Drosophila melanogaster: one gene and its partner. The protein of the gene in region 2 interacts with the protein of the main gene of each other region in a biochemical or structural test. Each region holds a gene or a part of one and is shown on either strand. Other genes may lie near its edges.

Region 1 (5,956 bases), 5.1 Mb from region 2:
AAAATTGGTACCACCTGGCGTATGGGTAAGTGGGTATTCCTTTGCAAGGGACAAGTTCTATTGGAAAAGTTCGACCTGAACGTAAATTAAATGCCAACTATACGAAAATGTCCATGTCAATGAAGTGAAAATTGTGAATAGAAACCCACCTGGCGTATGAGCAATATGAGTTCTTTGAGTATAAGTAATTGTATTTGCTATTCTCAATCTTTAAATTTCCGAAATTTCAATCCCAACCGAGGAACGTAAATTAGTTTCATAAAAGCTAACAAGGCAAGAAAAATTCTTTTGTCCAAAACCTTTCGACTTCACTTCATTGTTCATTTGACCCTGTTTCACTCTGCCTCTGCCACTGTTCCTTTCCCCCGCCCCCTTATAATCCTGGTTTTGGCCATAGTCCAGCCACAGAAGGCTCATCATCGTCGTCGTCATCATTTGAATTCCTCGCCCGATTGTTGCAAGCAGCGCCTGTCGTTGTTGTTGTTGCCAGGACACGTGCATCGGCGAGCTTTGCAGTTGACATTCCGTTACGCACGTTGCCTCCATTTGGTCCTTGTTCTTGTTTTTACTGCTGCTGCTGCTGCTGCTGCTGCTGTCGGTGTCGTTGTCGTTGTCTAGGCAACATGCAATGTGCAATGCTAAAGTTTTTGTGATGCAAGTGCGTAGTTTACTCACAATAAGGCTCGTTGGGACTGTCCAGCGATGTTGGGTATTCGACGTGCGGGGATTTTTTTTTATGGGGGAAAAGCTCACTCAAAGTTGGCAAAGGAGCTGTGGCCCATGCTCGGGTTAACTAACTATGCCAATGCAGGACCATAACCAAAAAGTGCGTCACTACCGAATATTAGCTACTCTATTATATGTTCAAGTGTATTTGGTTTTTCGAAATATTGATAGGAGAATACTGGTATCTAGAATTGCTCATCTTCCATCTTCATCTTTTTCTTACCAAAATAGCTATTTCCAGTATAATTTGTAGAAGAACTAACCAGGAATGGGCTAACCTACTTTTGTAGTTAGGGCGATACTTACTTGCTTTACAAATGAATGTCTGCACAGCACAAATCAAATAATCAATAAATCTTATAACTATTTAAACTTAAATGTATTTACTCATAATAAACAACCAAGTAAATATACCCAAATAGGTAATTATTACTTCAAAGTGATAAGTATAAGCATGCAAACAGCCCATCTCGATCCCACTGCAGAGTTGAGTGCTTGCAAAAGCTCGTCACGTCATAAGCGGCAACAGTTGGGTTCAGTTTCTGGTTCTGTGTGCTCAGAACGCAGTGCCCCACTGTGAGAGCGAAGGGAAGAAGGGGTGGGACAGTCAGCTGGGGGTCGATTCGGGGTGGGGGCTCGGCTCGTTCTCGGCGCAGAGCTAGAAGTGCAGGCAACCGTGGGCAGAGTGCCACACTTATGCTCACACAAGCACCCAAGCACACAGTCGCCCCTTCGCACACACACACACACACACATACAGATCGACAGCTTTGTATTGACGCACTTGAACGGGCTGTTTCTAGTTACCGATTCACAGTACACGCTTCTACACTGGGAGAAAATATGCATGTCCGCAAAATCCTTATCAACTCTCGAATCTTTTCTCGCAGCCATTATAACGAGTTTTAATACTAAATATGCATAGAAATTCAAAATATAAACAATAACAAAAACAAAAACGATATTTGGATGTTATAGAACACTCTTAGTTTTAGCCTGCGTTTGGTTTTGCCCAACTTAAACTTTGGTTATAATATATATAATATATGGAAGTAAGTACTTTTTTTCAGTGTGCGGTTCCCACAGGTCTCTTTCTCGCCATCTCTGTTGCACTCACCGTACTTATGCGATTCATTTTAGCTTATAACGCCGAACACGGGGAACGTTGAGCTGCAGTTGTAGAAACGTTCTCAGCACTCAAATTTCGCATTCACATTCTCATTCGTCAATTAGTTGCCGGCGCGAGCGAATCGTGAGTGCGGAAAAAAGAAAATCTTTTCATCAGCTGGAAAACTGTTCTTCCCGATCAAAACTGGGATTCGGGAGATTTTTGAAGCCCAAAAGCAGGGAACTCCTCACTGATGGCCACGCGAGGGGCGAATGTGATTTGGTTTCGCCATGGATTGCGCCTCCATGATAATCCCGCTCTATTGGCCGCCCTCGCCGATAAGGATCAGGGTATAGCCCTAATTCCCGTTTTCATATTCGATGGAGAGAGTGCAGGTAAGAACTGAGTTTTCGAAAATTTTATTTCGTTGCGCACACATACATGTAGGTATCCAAATTAAATTGATTACAGGTAACCTTGAACTTACCTTGCACTTTCCTAAGTTATTACTTCAAAACTTTTATATGAGATATGGATATCTCATGGAGATATATTTAAAATATTAAGATAATCTTAAAATAATTAATAGATAGCAAAACATCAAAGATAAAATATTATATCTATATATATTTGCTCATACAAAATCATCAGAAGTTTGTGTAAAAATAGATTTTTGGAAAGAGTTTGAAAATTCAACAAAATTAAAATAAAAAACCGTTGGCAACAGAGGGTTAAAATAAATACTTTTAGTTTGATTGCTATTACACGCTCATTCTCCGTATGAGCTAATATCATTTTTTGCGACTTGCATCGGTTATCACATACCACCTCTTTCCGCGACCGCTGCGAATTCAGCGTTTTCGCTGCTTGTGAAAATGGAAAGAGGGCGAGAGCTGCAGGGGCGGAAAATGGAGGGAAAACCTAATGCACTTTTGCATGGTAGAGCAAAACAAACGATGCGCCCTAATGCCATTTGTGGCTGGCGGTTTTGAGAATTTTCCGTCGAATCGCTGGGAGAGAGATATAGAAAGACAATGCAAAATGGGTAGAGACATTGAGTGCAAACCAGAATAGCAGTATAATGCTTGTGTTTAAACAGCTCGCTCACGGAAAAAGTCGGCGAGAAACGGGGATACCTATAGAACCCATCACTTGACCGATAAGCGTCGTTTTGTGGGTAAAAGCGTGAAAACAAATATTACAATGGAAAATGGGCTAAACTGAACCATTTGTTTGCACAAAAGCTGAAAATTTATCTAAAAGGTGGCACTTAAACACACAAACTTGTTTTGAATTCCTAGTTTTGCGAAAATTGTGCACGAAAAAACTTTGAAAATGCATAATTTTTTTTAAATTTATAAATCTTATAAAACCGTTAAATGCTCTTCCTTAACAGGTACCAAGAATGTGGGTTACAATCGGATGCGTTTCCTCCTGGACTCGTTGCAGGACATCGATGATCAGCTACAGGCGGCAACTGATGGACGTGGACGCCTCCTGGTCTTCGAGGGCGAACCGGCTTATATCTTCCGCCGGCTACATGAGCAAGTGCGTCTGCACAGGATTTGCATAGAGCAGGACTGCGAGCCAATTTGGAATGAGCGCGATGAAAGCATCCGTTCTCTATGTCGGGAGCTGAATATCGACTTTGTCGAGAAGGTATCACACACGCTTTGGGATCCGCAATTGGTGATTGAGACCAATGGTGGCATTCCACCGCTGACCTACCAAATGTTCCTGGTGAGTTTAAAGCTCAGTTCTCTAGTTATAATATTCTTTTGAGAATATATCTTTAAAATAAATGTAAAAATATAACTATCTGAAAATTATATAGTCACTGAAAGATACTAATTATTTACATCAAATTATATTTTCGTTTATTTTATTATGTTTTAGCACACGGTGCAAATTATTGGGCTTCCACCGCGTCCCACCGCCGATGCTCGACTAGAAGACGCCACCTTTGTCGAGCTGGACCCCGAGTTCTGCCGAAGTCTTAAGTTGTTCGAGCAGCTGCCCACGCCGGAGCACTTCAATGTGTATGGAGACAACATGGGCTTCCTGGCCAAGATTAACTGGCGCGGCGGAGAAACACAGGCCTTACTTCTGTTGGATGAGCGTCTTAAAGTGGAGCAGCATGCGTTTGAGCGTGGATTTTATCTGCCCAACCAGGCACTGCCCAATATCCACGACTCGCCAAAATCGATGAGCGCCCATCTGCGCTTTGGTTGCCTTTCGGTACGTCGCTTCTACTGGAGCGTCCACGATCTCTTCAAGAATGTCCAGTTGCGCGCCTGTGTGCGGGGCGTTCAGATGACTGGCGGCGCGCACATCACGGGACAGTTGATCTGGCGAGAGTACTTCTACACCATGTCGGTGAACAATCCAAACTACGATCGCATGGAGGGCAATGACATCTGCCTGAGCATCCCGTGGGCTAAGCCGAACGAAAATCTCCTGCAGAGCTGGCGTTTAGGCCAAACGGGATTCCCGCTCATCGACGGCGCCATGCGACAACTCCTGGCCGAGGGATGGCTCCACCATACGCTGCGCAACACCGTGGCCACCTTTCTCACGCGCGGCGGTTTGTGGCAGAGCTGGGAGCATGGACTGCAGCACTTTCTGAAGTATCTGCTGGATGCGGATTGGTCGGTCTGCGCTGGCAACTGGATGTGGGTATCCAGCTCGGCGTTTGAAAGGCTGCTGGACTCCTCCCTGGTCACCTGCCCGGTGGCATTGGCCAAGCGACTTGATCCGGATGGCACCTACATCAAGCAGTACGTCCCGGAGTTGATGAATGTGCCCAAGGAATTTGTGTAAGTTTATATAATGAAAATTCCATATAACAATTTAAGTACTTAGATATAATAAAAATACTGATGGTATACTTGTCGTATACGCAATATATGATGACTCCTTTGTCGTCTTTACTTATGATTCGTTAAAGTGTTCAACAATCTCAAGCAACCATTTGAACTATATATATTTTTAATTCGTTTATTCGTGCTTTTGTTATATTTTTTAAATTATAAATCCCATTTTATATTTTCAGTCACGAGCCCTGGCGAATGTCTGCCGAGCAGCAGGAGCAGTACGAGTGCCTGATCGGAGTCCATTATCCGGAGCGGATCATTGATTTGTCCATGGCCGTAAAGCGAAACATGCTGGCCATGAAGTCTCTCCGAAATTCGCTGATCACCCCGCCGCCGCATTGCCGACCATCCAACGAGGAGGAAGTGCGTCAGTTCTTCTGGCTGGCCGACGTGGTGGTTTGAAGGAGTACAAGTGGGATGACCAATCCAATTTTAATTCGATTTCACAATAAAGAAACTATTACCAGTGAAATATTATATATAATTAATAATGCTTTATTTTCTTCAATTAAAATAAGTACTACAATACAATTTGTATCCGTTTTATTTGGTTTCGTTTTACTTTTAACAGCTTATAACGTGTTACTCATATATCAATTTTATTCAGCTTATTTTAAAAATCGTTTATGGTGTATATATATATAATTATTATTATCATCTGTATTACGTTGTCAAATTATACGTTAATTAACAGCATTAATTAAATAGTTTTTGCTTTTAATTGGGTCTTTCATACGAGAAAAATTGAACGCGAAGTATTTCAAATATTGAAATTTATTTTATGTCGATCTATTGATCCTGGCTTCGTTTGCCTTTCGTTTAATGAGAGATTCTATCTTTATAATTTGTCTAAATTGTTGTGTATATTTTATTTTAATGCCTAAATTTTGGTGTTCCTTCTAGATGTGTGCCTTTCGAATGAGATATTGGTAGGGGTTGATGGGACCTAAAAGGAGTTATTGTTGAAGTTTGAGTCCCTCGACAGTTTGCTACAAATAAAGTTTGAGAAAATCTAAACTCGACCACGCCGAGCTTTTCGCTCATTCCCCTACCAGCGACTTAATCGCAATAGTCCTTTGTAGGAAGTAAGCATTCGTTTTAGACATTCGACATCCTGCGAATTAGTTGAAGTAAATTCGAGTAAACATTTAGAGCGTTGCTTGGCAAAAAGTTATTTTTCTGGTAAATGTAAATTTCACACACACACACATTGCGTAATATACGATAGCTGAATAAATAATGGAACCAA
Region 2 (5,249 bases):
ATCAAAGACACTGCCATGGCCTTGGCCATCGATGTCGTTAAGGAAGTTGGCCACACAAACGCCCTGCTCGATGTCCCACAGAAATACCTGGCCATCGTGCCCGGCGGAAAGCAGGACATGCTCATCTCTTGGGTTCGACTCAAGCACATAAAGCTCATCCTTGTGCCCACGCAGAACACGATGCAGCTTGGCTGACTTCGAGTCCCAGATTTTTATCTGTTTTTAAATGGGATTATTAATTATAAGTAAATGTTTAGCACGTTTTAAGACGGATGCTTACAGTAAAATCGTTTACGGCGGTGATGACATAACGGTCCGAGGCATCCCAAGCCACCATGGTTACCTTAAGCCTCTTTCCCTCCTCTGGTTCCGGGCAGCTGCAATTTAATTACAAAGCTATTAGTTTTCAGAGAATTCCTTACTAGCTAGAAACATTTTAAAGAAAATCGCACTCACCTGGCCAGACGCTCCGTCATGCATAGTTTGGAACTTTTCCACTGCTGCGACTCAAACGTCCAGATGTGTGCTGTGCCGTCCTTGCTCCCCGATATAAATCTCAGTCCACGATGCGACCACTGCACCGAGTCCACGGCATCTGTGTAAGCTTCCGTCTCCAATATTCGCTTCGGACCGTCCTCGCCCATCATATAGACGCGCACATGGTGATCGGCAGACCCAGCGGCCAGAAAAATGCCTCCTGGCGAAAAGGTGGTACACATCATCTGAGCTTGTCCGGGCCGCAGTTTCTCATGATACTGCGTTGGCTTCGGGGCAAACGTGATCTTTTGCCCGCGCGGCGTTGAGTATTGCCAGAAGGCGATCGATCCATCTGTGCTGGTAGTCACCAGATATTTCAGATCGCTACGTGGCGACGGACAAAAGTTAACCGAAGTTATCATGCCCGTGTGAGCAGACAGTACGGCGATGGGTGATGTGGTTTGCATGTCCCACACTCTTAGTATGTGATCCAATGACCCGGCAGCCAGCATCGTATTGTCCAAGTTAATGGCTATGTCTGTAATCTCGGATGAGGCGCCTCGCAGAGTGGCCAGCAGGCGGCCATCTGCCGCTGACCATATCTTAATAAGTAGATCATCGGCTCCGGTGATGATGTATCTTCCTGTGCGATCAAACAGAACACAGTACACTGAGGACAGGTGGCCCACAGTGCGACGGAGCAATTTTGTTCGGCGGTAGAGGTCCGTGGGCACGAGGAGCTTGCGACGGACTTCCCCGCCGTGTTCCCGTCCAGTTAGAACGCGATCTTTGGAAATATAAATGGGTTAGTCTCTAATATGCGAATAAAACTCTACCATGCAACTAACCTAAGTTGTGGGTCGGCTTTGTAAGGACCGAATCCGGCAGCGAGACTCCATTCAGGCGGGTGCAGTAGTCCCTTAAGGAGCGATGGCAGTAGACGGTTTCCTTGGTGCGCAGGAGGTTCTGGCGCCCAGTACCCAACAGCGAGTTGATGCCCGGAACACTGGGCGGAAGCTCGCGATCCACCAGTGGACCCAGACGACTGCATATTTCAAGCAAGTGATTGGCGCCAATGTGCTTGTACTTTCGTTCCTGCGAATTCAAAATCAAAATTTAACGTATTCCTATCGATTGGGCGATAAACGGTGCGATAGCTTCAACAACGTATGCTTGTCTCGTTCCCTCGCGCACAAGTCAAGGCAAAGTGGTGGTTGCTTGCATGTGTCTGTGCGCATGGGCATGTGTATGTGTGAGAAACCAAAATGTCGGCTGGTTGCAGCTAATTGTTAAAACTAAATTACAAAGCATTTGTTTAAAAAATTAAGATTTTTCAAAATTTACAATTTTTACGAGGGTTTTAGAATTTTTGCTTTCCACTTTAGTCTTTTACGAATTTTTGCAATTTTTTGCTGCCTTTTTAATTAAATAGTTGCTTACTTATTTGTTAATTTAACAGTCAGAATGATTGATGTCTTTAGTTGTAATGTTTTTTAAATTAACAACTTGAATTTTGATGTGCAACTTTTTCTCTATTCCCTGACACGATGACGTCACAAAGGCGAGCGAACGACTGAGACGGAAAATGCCGCAGCAGACGCACACTTACGCAAGACTTAAATGCCGATCAAAAGGCATTAAACGATAACTTTGAAAAGCTAATTGATTAATTATGAAAACACTCACCAATTCCTCAAAGGTCTGCTCATGCTCGTTTCCCTGCCAATCGAGACGACGCGGCAAAACCTGGGAATCGAAAGGTGTACGTATATATAGACGGGTGTAAATATATATGCATGCATGTATGACTCTTATCACTTGCACTCCGTGACGTCGACGATGACGTCGCGGGGGCATCCCTATGATTCCATTTCTTTTTTCATGTTTTTCTCTTCTTTTTTTAATGGACTATATATTCACGTGGCCCCAGCAAATCCACAATTCAGTCTGATTCCCAACTCTGAGACAAGCGGACGTACAAGTGGGTTTTTCGTCGTTCGCTGCCGGCAGCAGAAACAACAACAAAACCAAAACAAAGCGTATAAACAAACGCGGTTTTCTATTTTTTTTTTGGCCCCCCTCTCAATTCGAGTCCGAAATATCTGTGCCAAAAACACAGCTGCAGCACCAACAAAACTCACCTTCTTCTCTTCGAGTTCCCGGATCAAGACCTACAGTTGGATAGAATTTAGTTTCAGAATTAATGTAAATGTTTGTAAACAAAACGAAATTCCGCTCTTTTAGCGCGAAATACGATTCCAATGCGATCTCGCGCGAGCGCTGCTTTCAACCCACCTTCGCCGTCTCCTCCAGCGGTCCCGCGGCCAGGAACTTGGAAATGAGGAAGTACAGCTCTGCAAGATAGAGGATTTCACGGGTTTTAGTGCAACAAGTTGTCGAAAATGCGCTCGCTGGGAGTCGTCAATATTCCAGATATATCTGGCCAAAGGGGCCCGTGAATTTCGCTTGGCGAAACGCAGTCGAAAAAACGCAGCCATTCGATTCGAAGGGCGAGCGAAACACAGACACACATTTCACAAAGTCAAAGGGGCTGCCTTTGGTAGCCCCGTTGGACGCACTCGCTGCGCCACCGGGCGGTACGCACCTGGCTTTAGATCATCACCGGAACTGGGTTGTCTAGTTTCCATTATTCATTGCGAATTGCAGCTCCGATTATGACAAAATTGCAGTTGCTTTCTTCTAAAATTCTTTTCGCAGCTTCTTCTTCCCGTGTGACACTCGATTGCCATTCCCACCGAATGAAATGCCTTTGCGTATCGATAGTTGGTGGCGGGGCTCACAAGATGGGTATCGAGTCTTAGCCGAAGGAGCCAATTTTCGTATTTGAATTTGAGATGATGCACTGAAATGCTTCGCAGGATTCTACAATCTAAGATATTTACTTCAAATTGAGAATTTTAATTCTCAGTCAAACATATTCGTAGCCATTGGTTTGGAATTTAAGCTTATTATGAAATTTATATTTAGCTATGTGATTAAATAAACTGTTTGCAATTATTCGCTTTTAATTTTCGAATGTAATTTAATAGCTACTACACAAATTCTTGATAACTAGACTTATGATTTAATGAATAACAAGTGAAATCTTTTTATATTTTTAAATTGTCCCATTGGTGTTGATTATTTTGAAGTTATGTTGCACTTCAGTTCATGGCCATGGCCAGGAGCATTTTTAAATTTCAGAAGTTTTTAATTTGCCATTTTAATTTCAAATGAAATTTCTGTAACTATTTATTATTTTAAAGCTATGTTTATAGAAAATCGATATATACATTATAAAACGTGTGAATTAAACGTGAATACCCTTAATGTCAAACGCACACCACTAGTTATGAATATCGGAGCAGCTGCGATATTTTTTTTTTTTGGGAGGTTTTGCCATTTTCTAATGTAACAAAAAGTGGAGTGTAGCCACAAAGTAAGCGTAAATAATAAATGCTCGCGGCGAATAAACAGCGAAAAAGGCGATAGATAAACCAGCAAACATGGAGTGCAATCTGGGCAGCGAGATTGGTCAGAAGATGCGCGTAAGTCATTGGAAAAAAATCAATGAACTCGTTATGGATACCGCTCGGATTGGATACTCCAATACTATATATATTTTTGCACTTCATTAATAGAGCGCCGTAAAGGCAAAGCTGCTGGAGCTGGGAACCGGAGGATCGGCCGGTTTTATAGACGATGAATTGCCGGACTACGTCATGGTCATGGTGGCCAACAAGCGCACCAAACAGCAGATGAACGCCGAGCTGAATCTATTCCTAGGCGATCAAACTGACCTCTTTGTCACCTGGCTGCACGAAGTGCTGCAAAAGCTCCAAGAGGTCACACTCCCCACATCCAGTGGTATGATGGATATGCTCATCATACTTAAGCACCCACTAACTCCAATTTTTTCAGCTTCCAGCAAGAAGCGCAAGTCTCGCGGTCAGGAGAAGGACAAAAAAGGATCCAAGAAGGATAAGCGACCGCACCGAAAGTCCGGAGATGAGCTGTCGGAACCACAGCCAAGTTCCTCAGATGCCATGCCAATTGTCAGTTCCATCACGGATGTTTTTGCCGAAGAGCTTCTCGAGAAGGCAAAGAAAACCATGGACATTGATCTCAGTGCCAAAGACGAGATCCTGCACAAAAAGAAAAATCGCAAGTCCATCGAGGATGAGGATGCATCGGCCAATAGGGCGCTGGATGTGCCCGCTGTGTCTGAGATCATCTCAACTACTATCGGTGTTAACCGGCAAAAAGACCTCGCTGAGCTGGCCGAAATCCAAAAGAAAATTCATGCAGCCAAGAAGCATTTACGCCAGATTGGCGAGATCGGGGATGAAAGCGATGAATATGATGAGGATCTGTTGAACTTGAGCGCGAGGGAGGAGTCTGTAGACCAGGAGCCAGAAGAGGATCCCCCGAAATTGGAGGCTCCACCACGAAAAGCTAAGAGCCCCATTATTTTTAACAGACGCGAGAAGACACCCGAAAAGCGTCCAGAGGCTGAACCGGAGATCGATTCCCGCCAGGAGGAGGCGGAGGAGAAGAGCCCCAAAAAAGATTCTTCGGCTGACAAGGCCAAGGAAGACCGGTCTGAAAGGCGATCGGTGCATGACCGTCTCGGTTCAAAGGCCCAAACGCCGGCAGATCGTTCGCAGCGCAACCAAAAGGAGCTCTATGTGCCGACCCATCGGCGACGGAGCGAACCCGAGGCCACCAAAGAGCGCAGTCAAAGAGAGCGCACCCGAGAACGACGCTCCAGC

Evidence for each region. Proteins that work in one complex are often made in the same cells at the same time.
Region 1: of the proteins of BRWD3 (region 2) and cry, one has a biochemical effect on the other in vitro, tested with the Drosophila melanogaster proteins (one study listed by BioGRID).

The regions. Positions count from the first base shown.
Region 1 is NT_033777.3:19,210,254-19,216,209, forward strand, and holds cry (cryptochrome), read left to right. Parts: upstream 1-1,900; 5' UTR 1,901-2,087; coding exon 2,088-2,229; intron 2,230-2,305; exon of another isoform or gene 2,306-2,474; intron 2,475-3,230; coding exon 3,231-3,574; intron 3,575-3,730; coding exon 3,731-4,650; intron 4,651-4,886; coding exon 4,887-5,109; 3' UTR 5,110-5,189; downstream 5,190-5,956. UniProt on the Drosophila melanogaster protein: Blue light-dependent regulator that is the input of the circadian feedback loop. Has no photolyase activity for cyclobutane pyrimidine dimers or 6-4 photoproducts.
Region 2 is NT_033777.3:24,316,991-24,322,239, reverse strand, and holds the start of BRWD3 (BRWD3), read right to left. Parts: upstream 3,241-5,249; 5' UTR 3,126-3,240; coding exon 3,083-3,125; exon of another isoform or gene 2,832-3,082; coding exon 2,773-2,831; exon of another isoform or gene 2,649-2,772; coding exon 2,619-2,648; exon of another isoform or gene 2,458-2,618; intron 2,224-2,457; coding exon 2,164-2,223; intron 1,573-2,163; coding exon 1,326-1,572; intron 1,265-1,325; coding exon 457-1,264; intron 378-456; coding exon 281-377; intron 217-280; coding exon 1-216. Other genes in the region: Nab2 (nuclear polyadenosine RNA-binding 2), read left to right, coding at 3,984-4,025, 4,119-4,344, 4,399-5,249.